Sus scrofa: one gene and its partners. The protein of the gene in region 1 purifies or fractionates together with the protein of each later gene. This does not show direct contact. Links are inferred from orthologs where the notes say so. Each region holds a gene or a part of one and is shown in the gene's direction. Other genes may lie near its edges. The genes, in order: EXOC6, EXOC7 and EXOC3.

The links.
Region 2: the proteins of EXOC6 (region 1) and EXOC7 purify together in Homo sapiens (affinity purification with mass spectrometry; 4 studies listed by BioGRID and IntAct, counting the BioPlex papers as one, with this or other methods). This does not show direct contact. The link is inferred for Sus scrofa from reciprocal best matches to the Homo sapiens genes EXOC6 and EXOC7.
Region 3: the proteins of EXOC6 (region 1) and EXOC3 purify together in Homo sapiens (affinity purification with mass spectrometry; 6 studies listed by BioGRID and IntAct, counting the BioPlex papers as one, with this or other methods). This does not show direct contact. The link is inferred for Sus scrofa from reciprocal best matches to the Homo sapiens genes EXOC6 and EXOC3.

The regions. Positions count from the first base shown.
Region 1 is NC_010456.5:104,382,350-104,385,999, forward strand, and holds part of EXOC6 (exocyst complex component 6), read left to right. Parts: intron 1-1,704; coding exon 1,705-1,876; intron 1,877-3,129; coding exon 3,130-3,177; intron 3,178-3,267; coding exon 3,268-3,358; intron 3,359-3,650. UniProt on the Homo sapiens protein: Component of the exocyst complex involved in the docking of exocytic vesicles with fusion sites on the plasma membrane.
Region 2 is NC_010454.4:5,337,873-5,341,522, forward strand, and holds part of EXOC7 (exocyst complex component 7), read left to right. Parts: intron 1-1,814; coding exon 1,815-2,037; intron 2,038-3,650. UniProt on the Homo sapiens protein: Component of the exocyst complex involved in the docking of exocytic vesicles with fusion sites on the plasma membrane.
Region 3 is NC_010458.4:79,709,718-79,713,367, reverse strand, and holds part of EXOC3 (exocyst complex component 3), read left to right. Parts: intron 1-182; coding exon 183-283; intron 284-1,565; coding exon 1,566-1,676; intron 1,677-1,855; coding exon 1,856-2,006; intron 2,007-3,629; coding exon 3,630-3,650. UniProt on the Homo sapiens protein: Component of the exocyst complex involved in the docking of exocytic vesicles with fusion sites on the plasma membrane.

The DNA.
Region 1 (3,650 bases):
GCGAGGCCAGGGATTGAACCTGCATTCTCATGGATACTAGTCGGATTCATTTCCGCTGCACCACAAAGGGAACTCCAAGGCCTAAGTTCTTAATGATTGCTACCTTATATTACTATCTTTAGTGTTATGATAGGTATTCTTCCCTCAAGAAGCTTACAGTTTATGTGTAAAAATATATGACATATACTTGAAAAATTTAAGTTACAATGTGAAGTAATGTAATTTTATTGTATATTTTATTTATAATTTGTCAGAGGGAGTAGAAAGGACTATATGTTTACCTTTTCTATAGTTGAAAAGATTACTTGGTATGGAGATACTGAGAAAGTCCTGCTGGAAGAAATGGAACTTGAATTGAACCTCAAACAATGGGCAACAGATGGGGAGTCACATTTTTGGAGGGCCCCAAGGCTAGCTTCAGGTTCAGTAATTCACTAGGAGGACTCACAGAATTTACCAAAGTTGTTATACTCACAGTTACTGTTTGCTACAGCAAAAAGATACAGATTAAAATTAACAAGAGATGGCATATGAGGCAGGGTCTAGGAGAGTCCCACTGGGGAGCTTCCAGTTGTCCCTTCCCAGTGGAATCCGTGTGGGTAGCAATGATATGTGGCAACACTCATGGAGTATTACTAACCAGGGAGGCTCTCCTAAGCCATGATGTCCAGAGTTTTTACCAGAGGTTTGTCCCCTTGATGCCACTAAGTGGTTTGAGTTGCTCATCCAAATTTTCAGGCCCTCCAAAGCTGTTACCGTGTGGCTTGATGGCTCCACCTACTATAAATCACATTATAAGTCACATTGTTAGCTTTGACTGTTTGGCATTGCTCAAGACACCCAAGTAAAAAAGGCATCTGTCATGCAGAACATTCCAAAGGCTAGCCTCCCAGGAATTGGGGGCAAGGGCCAAACCTTTCTTTGGGCAAGGTTAATCCTTTACTGCATGGTGGGTGGAAAAGTCCCTCAGTGTAGAGACAGCATGAGCTGAGATACTGGAGGAGTGCAAATGCCGTGTTTATAGAAAACATTGTGGTGACTGCAGTATGGCCTTATACTTGAAATTATGAACTCTGCAGCCAGACTACTGGGATTCATATCCTGGCTGTTGTGACATTTATGATAGTTACATAATTTTAATCTTTCTGTAAATTAGTAAGGGTAGTAATAATTCATACATTATAGACTTTGTCAAGATTAAAGAGTTAATACATAAAACACTCAGAATATGTCCTGAGGAGTTCCCTGGTATCCTAGTGGTTAAGGACCTGGCATTGTCACTGCTGTGGTACGGGTTCTGTCCGTGGCCTGGGGACTTCTGCATGCGGTAGGCATGGTCAAAAAAAGAGAAAAGACTATGCCCTGATGCATAGTAAATGCTGTAGAAACCAGGAGTTTGTTTATGCATTCCTTAATTATTCACTTAGTGATTCCTTTTTTGAGTACTTGTAAATTGAAGACTCATCTCCTGAGTCTCAGACCTTTATTTCCAGATCCCTAGTGATGTGTCTAGAAGGCTTATGGCTCTTTAAATATTAACATGTTCAAAAAGAATTTAAGTATTTTCTACCCAAATTATTTCTACTCATGTCAGTGCTATCATTCTAGCTTATTCAGAGATTTTTTGTAAAGATTTGGGTTAATAAAGAGTAAATTTTGGTGAACTGGGAAGTTAATGTTAGCTTTCTTTTTGTATATATACAGGTCTGTGTATGATGACCAACCAAATGCACACAAGAAGTTTATGGAAAAGTTGGATGCTTGTATCCGTAATCATGACAAGGAAATTGAGAAGATGTGTAATTTTCATCATCAGGGTTTTGTAGATGCTATTACAGAACTTCTTAAAGTAAGAACTGATGCAGAAAAACTGAAGGTAAGAAATACCTTTTTACCTTTGCTCTCATTAAATTACTCAAGTATTAATTTATAGTGCATATTTACAAACATTATTAAATGTGCTAACTTCAAGAAGTGAATTCGTGTATATATTTGGGAATGCTCTGTTAACACAGTTGTCATGCTAATGACAGAAGTAATCTCTCTTTTCTTTGTAAAGCAAGTAATGCATTGACTCAACAGGATTTCTTTCCATGCAGGGGAATGAATTAAAAAAGTTCACACAGTGAAAGTCCTCATGTCATCAGGGTTCTAAAGTAACAATTAGTACAATATTGATAAAAAGTTATCTTCTGAAAATTTAAAAAAACTTACTGTATGTAATTGTGTTCTCAAAATTATTTAATAATAGTGAAACTTTAAATTTTTTTTCTTTATTTAATAGCAGCATATAATATTCTTAAAGTTGGTCTACATTTTCTTCCACATAGCAAAAACATTTATTGAATGAGACCTAGATTTGTTTTGTCAGAATACAAAATACTTAGTTATAAGAATTGTCCTATTTCTCTTTCTTTACATTTGGAGAGCTTAGCAGCAGAACGACCCTGGTTCACCAAAGGTTATGATTAGAAAACCATTATATAAAGGATATTCAGATAACAAGAGACCAAATACAGCATCAATGAGGTCACTGAGCATCTTTGTTCAGAAATTAATGAGATTTTTAATAAACCAGAATGTGCTTCCTTACTATGATGACCTAATGAGTCACTTAATATGTGGGAAAATTTGAGGTTGAGCTTTGCCTGCACCTGCAGCATTAAAATGTTGCTGTGGATTGAGATTTCCGTGTTTGATGTTAATCAACCACCCAGTGTTTGCATTCAGCAAAGTATGAATGTTTAATTACCATAAAATGCAATCACCATTTCCTACAGACAATGAATGGCACATAGACCTCATTGAAGTTATCAAAAAGGGACCAGTGGTCAATTGGGTCAGTGATTTGAATTGTTTGACAGACTTAGAGAAGCAAGTAAAGTTCAAAAATCTAGATTAAATTTGAGAAGTTTGCCACAGAATCTGTTAAAAAGAACTGTCATAAGTAATTGAAGTTAACAAAAGCCCTTTTCAATCAAAAGTTCAAGTTCAAGCTGTAGAGTTAATTTGAATTTGCATTTCTTTGTTCTAAGTTTCTCATGAAGCATGATCTGATTACAAGGGTGAGCAGTTACATCAGGGCAGTTTTATGCATATTTGTCTAACTAAGGTGAAATTATTTTTAAGGTGCAAGTTACTGATACCAACCGAAGATTTCAAGATGCTGGAAAGGAGGTGAGAAAATGATACCTTTTTTTGTGCATTCAATATGTGGATACAATTTAACTGTTCATTTTAAAATATGAATGTTTCTTCTTTTTAAAGGTCATTGTCCAAACGGAAGATATTATTCGATGTAGAATTCAGCAGAGGAATATTACAACTGTAGTAGAAAAATTACAGTTATGCCTTCCAGGTGAGTTTAACTTGTCTGTAATGTAACATTCAGCCTGGCTGAACTGTAATTTAATGATAGCAGTTTAATAATAACGAGATGGTCATTATTCATTATGATAGTTACAGATTACTTGGTGATTGTCCCCCTAAATCCCATGGTTTTCTTTCCTATCTACTTTATTCCCTGAATTTTCATGGCTTTCTTTATCATAAGGCCCCTATTTGATGATCTTACGTCAGTCTCCTAGAACAAACTCTGCCTTTCCATCTCTTTTCTGCCTAGTTTGTCCTTTGTCCCTCCCCACCCCTCC
Region 2 (3,650 bases), on another chromosome or scaffold:
CTACTGCTGTGGCACAGGTTTGATCCCTGGCCTGGGAACTTCCGCAGGCTGCAAGTGTGGCCACAACAAGGAAAGAAAGAAACAAACAAAAAACCCAAATTAAAACATCTCTACTGAGATAGAATTCACGTACCGTGAAATTTGCCCCCTTAAAGTATCACATTCATTGGTCCTCGTGTAATCGCAGAGTTGTGCGACATCACTAGAATAAACTTTACAACGTTCCCGTCGCTCCCCCAAAAGCCAGAACCCGCTGGCCGTCACTCTTCTTCCCTGCCCTCCCGTCCACCCAGCCTCTGATGATCACTGCTCTATTTCCTCTCTCTAAATTTGCCTGTTCCTGGCTCAGCAGTTAACAAACCCGACTAGCATCCACGAGGATGCGGGTTCGATCCCTGGCTTCGCTTGGTGGGTTGAGGATCCGGCATTGCCGGGACTTCTGGTGTGGGATGCTGATGCTCAGGTCCCACCTCGCTGTGGCTGTGGGGTAGGCCAGCAGCCGTATCCCCCATTTGACTCGTAGCCTGGGAACCAGCATATGCAGCTGGAAAATGTTGCCTGCTTTGGACCTCATGTAAGTGGAAGCCTGCAGTATACGTGACCTCTCCCGTCTGGCCTTCACTCAGCAGAGTGCTTTCAACGTCCTTCCATGTGGCGGCCTGTGTCAGTGCCTCCTTTCATCGTGTGGCTGAATCCTGCTGCAGTGTAAGCATCTGCCACGTTTCATGCATCCGTTCCTCGCTGGTGGACACGCCCCTTTGGGGCTGTCATGAACAGTGTTGCATGGCACCCTGAGCACCTGCTGTGGTGTGGACTTCTGCTTCCAGGTCTCTTAGCTGCCCTGGATACCTGTCTCCCATAAGATACACGATTTGCAAGCATTTTCTCTCATTCCATGGGTTGTCTTTTCACTTTTCACTTTTTCTTTTTCTTTTTTTTTCTTTTTTTTTTTTGCCCTTTTTAGGGCCACCCCCGCGGCACATGGAAGTAAGTCCCCAGGCCAGGGGTCGAATTAAAGCTACAGCTGCCAGCCTACACTACAGCTCACGGCAATGCCGGATCGTTAACCCACTGAGCAAGGTGGGGGATCGAACCTGTGTCCTCATGGTTACTAGTCAGATTCCTTACCACTGAGCCACTATGGGAACTCCCTTTTCACTTTTTTCATGGTATCATTTGCAGCATGAAAGTTTTGAACTTGACATAGTCCAGTGTATCTGTTTTTCTTCTTCTGCAAAACCTTTTCTTTTTTTTTGTCTTTTGTCTTTTTAGGGCTACACCTGTGGCACATGGAGGTTCCAAGGCCAGGGGTCCAACCGGAGCTATGGCCGCCAGCCCACACCACAGCCACAGCAGTGCGGGATCTGAGCCTCATCTGCGACCTACACCATAGCTCACAGCAATGCCGGATCCTTAACCCACTGAGCAAGGCCAGGGATCGAACCCGCAACCTCACGGTTCCTAGTCGGATTCGTTTCCGCTGCGCCAAGACAGGAACTCCCTGTAAAACCTTTTCAAGCAAGAACACAAATGAATGGTGCAGCGAGAAAATCATCTGCTGATATTTGTAAAGCACCTCCTTCTTGTAAAACTCTCTGGGTTTCACCCGAGAGTGTACATTTTAAGAGCACACAAGGTGAAAGAAATGATCGAGGAAGGCTTCCCAGCATTTCTTCTCCGGCAAGAAGGAAGTGCAGGCAGGGAGGGCCGAGGCCCAGGATCAGGAAGGCGAGGGGAGAGGGTGGGGAGGCGAGGTCCAGCTGAGCTCTGGAGCAGCAGCCCAGCCCTCCCTCCCTCCCTCCCTGACCCCGTAGAAGCTGCTGTTTGAACGGGGGAAGGAGTCACTGGAGTCTGAGTTCCGCAGCCTGATGACCCGGCACAGCAAGGTCGTGTCGCCCGTGCTCATCCTGGATCTGATCAGTGGCGAGGACGACCTGGAGGTGCCGGACGAGGTGCCCCTGGAGCACCTGCCCGAGAGCGTGCTGCAGGACGTGATCCGCATCGCCCGCTGGCTGGTGGAATACGGCCGCAACCAAGGTGAGACGCCCGGGCAGCAGGGCCCCGCGCGGGGCCAGAGGAGGGGGTCTTTTCCCGTCGGTGTCTCTCATCCACCTGCATTTCTTTGAAGAAAAAGGAGTTCAGTAGGAAGCAATATGAGTAATAAATTTGTAGCTTATGTATCAAATTGAGAGTCTAGCTCACCCCAAGCATTTCTTCATATACCTAACTTTCCTATTTATTTAATTTTTTGGATTAATTATAAAAATTTCAGGAGGTCCCGCTATGGCTCAGGGGTCCCGGATCCAACATTGTCTCTGCAGCAGCTTGGATTGCTGTGGAGGCACAAGTTCGACCCGCAGCCCAGTGCTGTGGGCTAAAGAGCGATTGTTGCCACAGCTGTGGCATAGGTGGCGGCTGCAGCTCAGATTCAATCCCTGGCCCAGGAACTTTAATGAGGGGAAAAAAATTCAAACGGCACAGCAAAGCTTAGGTGAAAAGCGTTAAGTCCACCTCCCCACTTCCCTGATACTTACAGTGTCATAAACCAAAGATGAGTGCTGCTGAGATTAGTTATACCCTTCAGAAAAATGGTATGCAGCTCTGTGTGTGTGTGTGTGTGTGAGAGAGAGAGAGACAGACAGACAGACAGACAGACACAGAGAGTATGTGTGTGGCGTTTCCTCTCCTCATCCCCAGGTGGGAAGGAGCACATGCCATCCTCTGTCCTATGCTGGTTTTTTGGCTTTTGTTTTTAACTTAGTGATATGCCTTGAGAATTTTCCATATCATTACGTGTATATTTGCTTCACTGTTTTTAACGGTTGCATAATATTCCATGGTGTGGTGGTACCATCATTTCTTTAGCCAGTCCCAGACTCTAAAAAAAAAAATCCCAAGTTAAACAAAAATTTAAAAAAAACAACAACAAAACCTCAGAAGTTCTCTTGTGGTTAATTAAGGATCCAGTGTTGTCACTGTAGCAGCTTGGGTCACTGCTGTGGCGGGGGTTCAGTCCCTGGCCCCAGAACTTCCACATACCACAGGTGCAGCCAAAACCAGAAACAAAACCCCTAAAATTCTAACGAATATTCAATTTTAAGCTTTTTAGTCTCTAAACTCTTCTTTTCTCTGTTTTTTGTTTTGTTTTTGCCTTTTGTCTCTATAGGGCCGCACCCGCGGCATATGGAGGTTCCCAGGCTAGGGGTCTAATCAGAGCTGTAGCTGCCAGCCTACACCACAGCCATAGCAACGCTGGATCCTTAACCCATTGATCGAGGCCAGGGATCGAACCCACAACCTCATGGTTCCTAGTCGGATTCGTTTCCACTGCGCCACAATGGGAACTCCTTTTCTCTCTGTTAAATTGCACACATACCAAGTTGTCAGAGTGTGTCATCACTGCCCCTGCCTTCCCGCTGGGGCAACGTGCTGCTGAGTCTCAGGACAGCCTCTCCTAACCACGCAGTCACATTTGTGGCTCACAAGCTGCTCCGTGGGAGCCGAGGGCACGTGGGAGCTTTTCAGGAGCTCCCTTGGGATAAGAGAGAGGCCAGTGGCCGCCTTCAGACCCCTCAACCCCCTTCGGCCAGAGCCTCTGTGCACTGGTCCGTTTTTCACATGGGGTTCCTTGGGATACACTTGTTGGGACC
Region 3 (3,650 bases), on another chromosome or scaffold:
GCACTGGGTTTTTACTTGGTAAGAAAGCTTGGGTTAACTGACTTTGTTATTTTTCAAGTTTTTTCTTTTTTTCTCTGAGTTTGGACTTTGCTGACTGCCAGGTGCCAGATGGGGGGCCTGTGTCCTGGGAAGCCCGCAGCTTGTGAGTCTGGGTCAGGACTCATACGCTCTCCAATTTTCAGATGTTCGAACAGAACCTTCAAGTCGCTGCTCAGATAAGTGAAGATTTGAAAACAAAGGTACTGGTTTTGTGTCTGCAGCAGATGAATTCTTTCTTAAGTAGGTATGTATTCTTGCCAGCGTGCTAACGCAGAAAGTATATTTTGTTTGTCTAATGAAGTGCAGAACTGTATTGTCCTGATCTGGCTGGTATTCAGAAAGGATAGTGTCTTGATTAAAAAATTCCGTGCGTAGGAACCCACGCAGCTCAAGCCCATGCTGCTCGGGGGTCCGCTGTGCTCCGCAGCACATCCCGGCCGTCATGGCGTTTCTTCCCGTGTTCTGTCCCGTGGGCACAGCGCCGGCGCCCTCGTAAAGCACTGATAGGCCTTCCACGGGGCCTCCTGATACTGGCTTGGGTTTGGGTTTTCCGTGGCCCCGGACCTACCTGTCTGTGGTGGTGCTCAGACCGGGCGGCGGAAGGGCGGCGTCCTGTGGTGCAGGGGAGCAGCCCCTCCGCATCAGGCCCCTGGCTTGTGGAGACACACGGATCAGCCTGGGCCCCTCTGCCCGCCTGCGAGGTTCCCCCGTATCTCCTCGCTGCCTCGCCGGAGCCCGGCCCAGGCAGGGTGCTCCGCATGCCTGCGAGGAGGCACGCGTCCCTTGTCCGGGCTGGTGGCTGGCTCTGACAGCCAGCCCTGCTGCCAGCCCACCTGCTTCCCCCCGTGGGGTCCACGGCCCGAGGCAGCCTCTTGTTGAGCATCTTCGGAGAAGCAGAAGTTTTCCTCTTGGGCCGCAGCTCTTGGCTCACCCAAACCGTGCTCTGCACAGGAGGCGGGATCGGTGCTCAGTTGTTGCCCTCGCGCCGCCTGCTCCCATGTGCTCCTTTCTTAAGGTCTGTTTAGGTCACACACGCTGTGTCCTACATTCTGCTCCTGTGTGTGCTCGAGAGGCTCATGGCACAGACAGAAACGCAGTCTGTAGCCTCTCCGTTGTTTGTTTTCATGATGTCTTAAAGAGTCTAGTGTATTTTTAGTTTGATTTCTTCGGGGAAAGTTCCCGAAAAGGACACTGTACCCCGGAGGTGACTGTGTTCCCCACGCTGTCGGACGAGTTTCCGGCAAGCCCCGGGCCGGGGAATGTGGTCCTTTACCCGCCCGCACAGATGTGCAGCGTGTCTGGAGCGTCGGAACACAGAGCCGTTCCACACGGCCTGACGTGAAGCTGGTTTAATGATCCGTTTCAAACGATCAGCTTCCGTCAGTGTGGCTCACACCCCACATAACTTTAGACTCATCTGGCCAGATGTTAGTGAGGCAGAATCATGCCTCAGGCACAGTGGTGGCGGCCCGTCGCGACGCCCCGGCGCGCCCGTGAGGCTGCTCTGATGCGGGCTGTGTCCCCAGGTACAAGGAGGAGGCGCAGCTGTACAAGGAGGAGCACCTGCGGAACCGCCAGCAGCCGCACTGCTACGTGCAGTACATGGTGGCCATCATCAACAACTGCCAGACCTTCAAGTGAGCGGCACGGGCGGAGGGGCCCGACCCTCTCCTCGCAGGGGGGCCATCGTCAGCCTCACCGGGCCCCGACCCCTCTTCTCGCAGGGGGGCCATCGTCAGCCTCACCGGGCCCCGACCCCTCTCCTCGCAGGAGGCCATCGTCAGCCTCACCGGGCCCCCATCCCCTCTCCTCGCAGGGAGTCCATAGTCAGTTTAAAAAGAAAGTATTTAAAACACGAAGCAGAAGAAGGCGCAGCTCTGAGCCAGCTGAGCATGGACGGGGTCCTGGACGCCATCGCCAAGGACGGCTGCAGCGGCTTGCTGGAGGAGGTCTTCCTGGACCTGGAGGTGGGCGCCTCCTCCTGCCCGCCCGCCCACCTCTGGGACACGGTGCTGTGGACCCCACAGGCTGGGTGGGCCCCCCGAGGCAGGGTCGAATCTCATCTGCAGTAAATGTTAGAGGCCTAAGCACCCAGTAGGTTAGAGTGGAAACAAGGACGTGGCAAGGGCCCGGTGACACGCATCAGCAAGCTCTTGATGCCAGAGCCGAACCGGGGACACATGCAGGCCTGTGCATGCCTCACGCAGAGCAAAGGCAGAAGCATGGTCGTTCTCAAAGCACATTCAGGTCGGATCAAAGGCTCAGTGTCCAGTGAGTGAGTGCGTTTGTTTCAGAAATGGCTCAAGGAGTTCCCGTCGTGGCGCAGCGGTTAACGAACCCGACTAGGAACCATGAGGTTGCGGGTTCGATCCCTGCCCCGGCTCAGTGGGTTAAGGATCCGGCGTTGCCGTGAGCTGTGGTGTAGGTTGCAGACGTGGCTCGGATCCCGAGTTGCTGTGGCTCTGGCGTAGGCCGGTGGCTACAGCTCCGATTAGACCCCTAGCCTGGGAACCTCCATATGCCACGGGAGTGGCCCCAAAAATAGCAAAAAGACAAAAAAAAAAAAAAAGAAAAAGAAATGGCTCAGCATTACATAGAGTTGGCAGGAGTCAGAACATATTTAAAAAACAGACTCATCATCACCTAGGGTCCTGCTGGGCTCCTGGGGTGATGGGGTCATTTCGTGATGTCTGTTACTTTCTCAGGAATGGATTAGGAAACAATTGAAATGTATGCTTTTAAAATCATCTCAAGATACCTTAAAAAGACTGCAACAGAGGTAGACAAAGGACGTGAACGTCTGTCTCACAGAAAAGGGTTCGGATACCCTCAGTACAAAACAAAAGGCCCCGTCTGATCTTGAAAGAACAGCAAGTTAAAACCGAGTAGTTTTGTTGCTTAGCAGGACAGCGCGGATTGAGAATGTTTCTTCTTGGTGTTGAGAGTGTGGGGATAGAGCCTCTCGTTCCCTTGTGGAACCGTGAATTGGTGCAGTTTTTGGAGGCAGTTGGGAAACGGTTATCAAGGTTTAGTCTGCATGCTTTAGACTGAGCAGCTCCACCTCTAGGGATTTCACTTGCAGAAATACACAGATTCAGCGCAGCTTTTTTTTTTTTTCTTTTTAGGGCCGTACTTGCAGCATATGGAAGTTCCCAGGCTAGGGGTTGAATCAGAGCTATAGCTGCCAGCCTACACCACGGCCACAGCCACTCAGGATCCGAGCCATGTCTGCGACCTACGCCACAGTTCAGGGCAATGCCCAGATGCTTAACCTGCTGAGCCACAGCAGGAACTCCCAGTGCAGCAGTGCAGCGTTCTTTATAATAGCAAAATGAGAACATTTAAATGTCCATCAGAATTGGGCACATAAACTACACAGCATCCACACAATAAACAGATGGAGTCCATTAGGAGAAAACGTACCTGCGGGTATCCACACCGGGTTTGTGCACACCTCCTATAAATTCCGCATCTGCAGAGTTTCTCTGCGTATCGAAGACACAGGAAGACGGGCTCTCTGTGCCTCGCGGGGACCTGACGGCACTTGGGGACAGTGTCAGGGCTGTTTTCTGTGGTCTCTGCTTTTTCAGCAACATCTCAATGAGCTGATG